Oryctolagus cuniculus: one gene and its partner. The protein of the gene in region 2 interacts with the protein of the main gene of each other region in a pairwise test. Links are inferred from orthologs where the notes say so. Each region holds a gene or a part of one and is shown on either strand. Other genes may lie near its edges.

Evidence for each region.
Region 1: the proteins of C14H5orf22 (region 2) and ELOF1 interact in binary tests that used the Homo sapiens proteins (3 or more experiments, as listed by UniProt). The two-hybrid records come from large-scale screens. The link is inferred for Oryctolagus cuniculus from reciprocal best matches to the Homo sapiens genes C5orf22 and ELOF1.

Annotation. Positions count from the first base shown.
Region 1 is NC_091447.1:66,342,307-66,346,027, reverse strand, and holds the end of ELOF1 (transcription elongation factor 1 homolog), read right to left. Parts: exon of another isoform or gene 3,702-3,721; intron 1,986-3,701; coding exon 1,852-1,985; intron 1,728-1,851; coding exon 1,657-1,727; intron 1,438-1,656; coding exon 1,373-1,437; 3' UTR 756-1,372; downstream 1-755. UniProt on the Homo sapiens protein: Factor involved in transcription-coupled nucleotide excision repair (TC-NER), a mechanism that rapidly removes RNA polymerase II-blocking lesions from the transcribed strand of active genes.
Region 2 is NC_091445.1:57,762,148-57,765,960, reverse strand, and holds part of C14H5orf22 (UPF0489 protein C5orf22 homolog), read right to left. Parts: coding exon 3,811-3,813; intron 3,567-3,810; coding exon 3,445-3,566; intron 2,129-3,444; exon of another isoform or gene 2,067-2,128; intron 1,568-2,066; exon of another isoform or gene 1,523-1,567; intron 394-1,522; coding exon 327-393; intron 1-326.

The DNA of each region.
Region 1 (3,721 bases), on a different chromosome or scaffold from region 2:
CAGACTCCGGGGGAACGCCCCGTCAACCCAGGCGCCTGCTTCCTGCCCCAGCCAGGGGACGTCACCTGGGGTCTCGGGACGGGGAGGGGTGGGCTGCAGGGAGCACAGGGCAGACCCAGCAGCCCGGCCTGGTGACCAGAGCCTGGTGACAAGCACCCGGCAGGTGCAGGAGCTGGGTCTGCCCAGGCTGCTGGGGGTCTGGGATCCTGTGACCCACGAGACCCCCTGAGGACAGACGCAGCCCCCAGGGGCTCGCCATCAGCCTTGGGGGCCCCGCCCCGCACTCCAAAACTTCTCCACACCCCTGCGGCTTCCTGAAGCCCCTCCCCTGCTCCCGCATCCCTCAGACTGGACCCCCGGTCTGCTAAGATCGTGGCTGAGCAGCCACGTTCCTGGGTCTTGGCTCTGTGGCGCCACCTGCTGGACATAAGGGCCTGGGCCAGTGACCCCCACCGTCCTGCAGGTCTGGAGGGTTTTGGTGCACTCCAGAGGCAGGCAAGCACGGGCCATTGAGCGCCACCTCTGCAGGCAGCCCTCTAAGAAGGCTCCCCTCACCACCTTCATTCTGCCCCGTTTCCCACTGTGAGCGCCTGGCCATGGGGGCCCCTGCACCCAGCAGCGCCCAGGTCCCCCTGAGCACTTAGAGAGCAAACACGACACAGGACAGCTTCAAGTCCTGGCAAGCCCCACGCATCTGAGCACAGCCCCTCCCTCCTCTCGTGCCGCGGCAGGTGCACACCCCAAGAAGTCAGGAATCTCCATCAGCGCCTTTTATTTAAGGACTTGTGACTGACGGCTGTCCCCACCCCAGCCCCTGCCTCCTCTCAAAAGCTACTGAACGGGAAATGGGGCTTCCAGGGCGGCACAGGGGAGCCGGCTCCCTGCCCCGCTGGGCCCAACAAGGGACTGGAGAATGGGGGCTGTGGAGCCTGGGCCACAAGCACCGGGATGGGGGGAGGGGGGATGAAGGGGGAGGGGGATGGAGGAAGGAGGGGGAGGGAGAGCCCGGCTCGGAGGGGCCAGGTGCTGGTGAGGCAGCCACGGAGGCTACAGAGCTCCCACCCCGGGTCTGTGGGCTTCCCCTGCCCACTGAGGAGCCAGCGCCCCAGAGCCTGGAGGCGGAGAAAGGGGAGGGTCAACGGCTCTAGGGGCCAAGTGAGGCCAGTCCGGGCCCTCGGGCCCTGCAAGCCCTCAGCTCGAGCCGCACGGCAGGGCCAGCCTCGTGGCCACCCATGCCCACCGTGCGCGCACACACACACAGTCACACACACGGAGGGCGGTAGCAGCCCGGACCCACACCCCGGACCCCTGGAATGTCTCTGGATGAGTCTGCGGCAGGCAGCCCGCCGAGGGGGGTGGGTCCTCTGTGTGGCTACTGATTGGCCGCCTCGCAGGCGTCTATCCAATCGCTGTACACGTCCACTGGTTCTGACAGATCTGAAACGCGGGGGTCAAGGGCGACCGGTGGCGGTGGCCACTGTTCCCTCCCAGGCACCTGCACTGCTGACCCCAATGTCAGCCAGGCCCCTCCCACTGCGTAGCTGAGGCCCTGCACCTGCACACACAGCAGGGCCAGGTACCCCCTGAGCCCACCCTGGGCTGGGCAGCCCTGCCTGCCCACCCGTCCCCACCAAACAGCCCGTTTTCCAAGGATACATGTGATGGGTGTCTGGAATTCTTCTAGGCACACGGTACAAGAGATGACTCCAGTGTTTCGGGCACGGTCCCTGGAAGGGGGTGGGGGCGGGGGGCTGGTGAGTGAAGGAGCCCCGCACCTGTGGCGGTAACCCCAGACCCCCGACCCCAGCCAGGGAGGCGCGGGGAGGCCTGGGTGCCCCAGCCCCCACTCACATTTTCACGTCACAGGACTTCTCATGGTTACAGAACGGGCAGGTGAACTGGGTCTCCAGGGTGCCCGTCATCTTCTTCTTGGGGGGCGGCTTCCGCTTGGACTTCCGGCGTCCCATGTCCGCGGGTGGGTGAGACTGTGGGGGTGGGGGAGGGTGGGCGTGAGGGGGGCTTGCAGCACCCGGGAGCCCACCAGCTGCGGGATCCAGGAAGCAGGCTGGGAAGAGGGCCTGGCAGGGCCCCAGGGTGGTTTAAGGGCTGCGGGGGGGGGGGGGCCCTGGCTGTAACCCCGCTCCCGCACTGATCTGTGACCCCGCCCATGTGTAAGATAGAGAGGCTGTGGGACTCCCAGGAGGAAGACACAGGCACTGCGCTGGGCTCTGGTTCCGTCCCCCCAGGGGTCACGTGCTGGTGCCCAGCCTGGTGGGGCGGGGGGTACCAGGGTTGCGGCGCAGTGGGAGTGTAAGCCATTGGCATCCCATCCCAGAGCGCTGCTTCCGATCCAGCTCCCTGCTCAAGTGCCTGGACAAGCAGCGGAAAATGGCCCCCAAGTGCTTGGTCCCCCGCCACCCACGTGGGAGACCCGGATGGAGCTCCTGGCTTCAGCCTGGCCCAACCCCGGCTGCTGTGGCCTTTAGGGGAGTGGACCAGCCATTCGAAGATCTTTTCCTCTGTCACTCTGCCATTCAAATAAATGAAATAAATCTTCCCCCAAAAGGGGTGTGTGTGTGGAGGGGCAGGCACATGCCACATAGGAACGCCTGGTTTTAGTCCTGGCTCCTCCACTCCTGATCCTGCCTCCTGCTAACGCACACCCTGGGAGGCAGGGGAAGACGGCCCAACTACTTGGGTCCCTACCGCCCATGCCGGGGACCCGGGTGGAGCTCCAGGCTCCTACATTCAGCCTGGCCCAGCTCTGGCTGTTGTGGGCATTTGGGGGAGTGAACCAGCAGATGGAAGATCCGTGTGTCTCTCTTTCAAATCAGAATGAAAATAATGCAAAAAAAAATCAGCAGGTGGCACCTTTAAGAGGCAGGCTTGGGGGAGGTTCCTGGGTCACTGAGGGCTCTGCCCCGGATAGGAAGGGAGTGCCAGCCTCTGGAGTGAGTTCTGGAAGTCTCTCTCCACTTCCTGCACAGCCCAGGCACCCACCACGCACCCCGAGGCCCTCAACAGAGCCCGCACCACTTGTCGCCTCCAAAACACTGAGCTAAGTGAATCTTTCTTTATAAAAGGAGCCTGTCTCCGGCATTTTGTATATTTGAAAGAGCAACCATGCGCCTCCATCTGTTCTCATCCCCCCACAAGGTGGCCAAAACAGCCAGGGCCGTGCCAGGCACCAGGAACACCACCCAGGTCTCCCACGCGGGTGGCAGGGGCCACAGCACTTGGGTTATCGTCTGCTGTTTACCCACGCCCCTTCGCGGGGAGCTGCATCAGAGGCGGAGCAGCCAAGACTCCGACTTCGAGAGCCGCCGAGCCACATCGGCCCCCTCCCCATTTTGTTAACAGCTCCGAAAGGCTGAACAGTGACACAGGAGGGCCAGCCGGCGGCAGAGGGGCCAGCCGGGCCAAAGCACTAAGCCCCTGATGGTGGCCGCTCCTCTCGTGTGACACCCAGGTCCCACCAAACAAGGAGGGCGCGCGGGGGATGGGCCGCCTCCACAACGGCACGTGCGAGAGTGGCGCCGGGGGCGGGCAGGGGGCTTCTGCGTGCTCAGCAGGACCCCAGAGGCCACAGGGGGGCGAAGGGAGGGAAGGGCTGAGGGCGGGTACAGGACCCAGGAGCCTGGGCGGAGGTAGAGTTGGAGCGGGACAGGGCGGGGGGGACTGGGGTGGATGTATGTATTTACTTGAAAGGCAGGTATAGAGA
Region 2 (3,813 bases):
TATTGGTATCTACATATGTGTTTTAATTTTAAATGAGTGGTGTTTCAGTTTTACTACCAAAGAAATTTGAAAGCTACAAGTCGCTCACAGGCTGTCATTTTGCAACTTTTGTTTTGAAAGCTGGAACTCAAATATGTCATAGTTAACCGTATTCTGGCTTCTAAAAGTATGTGTTTTTCACTTATGCTTTTTCTTAAGAATTCATTTAGACTTCAGAGAAATACAAATAAAACAAACCATCTTTACAAAAGCAAAGTTTTCTACTCAGAAAACTGCCTTTATATAAAATGGGTCAATTTTACATAACTTAATATAAAAATATTTACCATTTCATAGTCAGGCACTTCCATTCGTTTTTTTAAACTCTGTACAAGTGGAACTAGTGATCCCATTCTGGAAAAAAAAACCACCCTATTCAATCAAACATCACAACCACTTAAACTAAAATTACGATAGCAAAGTAACACATTATACTTAACATTTACCATTCGGAACGTTTCATATGGTGATTGGGAAATGAAAAATAAAGCTGTTATAAATGTTCCCTACCATTTTCTTATGTAAAAAATTGCAGATTGTGTTAAAAGTTGAAAACAATCACTGAAGAAAATGATGTTTTCTTCTCTAGAAATGAGAAGCTCTTATATTAAAAATTATTTCTTAAAAAAGATTTTATTTATGTGAAACGCAGATTGATAGGGAGAGGAGGCAAGGGAGAGTTGTGGTGGTGGTGGGGGAGGGCTGGGGTGGGGGCGGGGAAAGAGATCTTGGATCCTCTGATTCATTCCCCAGATAGCTGCCAACAACAAGTGCTGGGCCAGGCCAGGCCAAAGCTTGGAGCCTGGACAGCTCCACTTGGGTCTCCCACACGGGTTTAGGGGCCCCAGATATGTGGGCCATCATCTGCTGCCTTCTCAGGCACGTCAGCACAGAGCTGGATTGGAATCCTAGTAGTCAGGAATTTGAATTTGTCTTCTGATACGGGATGCCGGCATGCAGGTGGCAGCTTAACCTGCTGTGTCAGAAGGCCTGCACTTAAAAACTATTTTGGTCAGCAGGAAAATCAAGTGCCTTTAGCATACTGTGATGAAAAACACTATTTCTCAAAAGTTAAAGATAAATGAGAGCAATGTATATCAATATATAATTATAATCAGAAAAATTCCATTCTATCTAATACAGTAATAGTGGTACTTTCAAGTTACTTAATTTAGGTAGAAGTCTTTGGAATCTCTGATAAACTGACTAATGTTCGTGGTATTTTAATGCCTTCTCCACCAATATCCACTAATTTGTTGGCGGGGGGGGGAACCAAGAAGACACAAAGACCTGTCTGTCTAGTTGCCCTATTATTCCTTCCTTGGGCTTCTGAACCTTAACCACCACTTCACTTCCTTAGGCACAGTGAACACTCCTACCCCCAGAGTGATAGCTGATTGGAGGGGACTTTTCTTACTGTCTCACTTAATTTTCCTTTGTGTTGCTCTTTCTCCTTCCAATTTCAGAGACAATATAAACTCACCACTGTTGCAGTCTTAACATATCTTCCTGTTTGTGGTGGAACTACCTGCAGGAGATGATGAGATAACTGGGCATGTTCAACAGGCACCTAGGTTACAGTGCAAGGTGGCCCTGTCTCCGGGCTACATTCAGGACTGTAAGGTTTCCAGGCCTATTCTGTTGTTATTACATTTAAAACTTGGCTTAAGGCTTCATGAAATCTTGAAATGGTGGATTCTTTTTAATATTTCTAGGAACATTCATGTCCTGTGACTTGTATCTCCTTCTTCCATCATAATTTCAAAAAAGAGGGTATCATTTTTAGAACTAGCTCCCTACACCAAAAAGAAAGATTATGAACTGTACCTGGCCAACATTCACTAATGTGAACAAATTATTATCAGTCATTCTTCCATACCACTGTTTTCCATGGTGATAATAAAGTTTATGATATTTAAAAACCACAGATGTTTCTGAAATTTTTGAGCTGAAATTACAAAGCATATTTTGAAAAGGTGATAATATGCACATAGCAAAAGAAGGTATTTCTCACTCATACACTTTACCTTTTAGCCACATGATTCCTCTCCAAAGGCTGTTCCAATTTTCTCTGTAATCTACTGGAGACCTGATGAATTGTTTTCAATAACTAACATGAAAAATTTTAGTGGCCATTAATTTTTGTCTAAAGTATTGTGATTTTAACTTCATATTTTTTATTGTTGTCTTACAGCTGATTTCTTCCTTCTGTTTACACTGTAGAGAATCATTAGTTAGGTTTGTGGGAGATCAATTTTAAAATAGTTGTGGGCTGGTGCCGTGGCTCACTTGGCTAATCCTCCGCATGCAGTGCTGGCACCCCGGGTTCTAGTCCTGGTTGGGGCACCGGATTCTATCTCGGTTGCTCCTCTTCCAGTCCAGCTCTCTGCTGTGGTCTGGGAAGGCAGTGGAGGATGGCCCAAGTCCTTGGGCCCTGCACCTGCATGGGAGACCAGGAGGAAGCACCTGGCTCCTGGCTTTGGATGAGCGCAGCGCGCCGGCCCAAGCGGCCATTTCGGGGGTGAGGCAACGGAAGGAAGACCTTTCTCTCTGTCTCTCTCTCTCTCACTGTCTAACTCTGCCTGTCAAAAAGCAAACAAACAAACAAACAAACTAGTTGTGGTCTTTCTATGTTCAAGGAGACAAAGAGTTTGACTATTTTATTTTAGTTTTCTGGCCTTCTGAGTTTACATAATCTATAGAATTATTTTAAAGAAAACTAACTACAATATTAACATTAATATATTCTTTCATGCCAGCTTTAATACCAATGGTTTTCACTCTAAAAGAAATTTTCTCTTTCTACTTTCATGCTATGTTAACAATGAAAGAATCGGTCAAGTAATTGACCTGATGAAGAACTGAGCATCCAAATCCTGTTTCCTCATGTCATGAATGCTTTGAAAATAAGCTCTTCTATCAGTAGTTGCATTATTCTTAAAAGGAGATTAATTTCCATATTATAATTTATTTGTCAAGGCAATTACTTTTCTTTTGAAAATTTTTTCTTACTTTTTATATACCAGGGACTATCTATATATTCATCTTTAATCCTTTGAAAGACTAGCTTATTATTTTATATTTAGGGGTAGCTATTGAATGACAACTGAAAGCATGACTACTTATTATGAGTGACATACTTAATCTCTGTGCTTTTTCCTTCACATCTACTAAATGTACATAAAATAATAAAACCATAAGGTTGTTGTTGAGGAATAAATGAGATAATGTAAGGAAAAATTTTATAGACAGAGGGCACAGAGGAAAAAATAAATGCTAACTATTGATAGTAAATCCATTTGAAATTTAACACCAATTTTAACAAAGCAATTTTTATAGCAAATTTAGGAGTATACTTAGTACTGAAAGCTAATAAAGTTGGGGGAAAACATGCAAGGGTCTTACCCAGGATTTGAAGCCCATCTTTGTACTGTTTCTTCATTATCACCATCACACAAATCAGCAAAAGTAGCCTCTAAGTCTTCTAATTGGTGAATTCGAGTATCAACAATATCTACCAAATCTTCCTGTACACAGATGAAAGCTAAGATTATATAGGTATTCTTTCAAAAACAACCAAGCAATATCACACTAAAACATGATTGTCAGGTATTAACTCTGGGCTTCACTGATAAACACAGCGACACAAAAACACACCAAACACACACACATACAATTTGGACAGTCCTTTGAAATAACTCTAATAAGCTGTAATATATTAGCAGATAATGATTTACTTTGCATAAAACTCAAAGAAATAAATGGAAATACCTC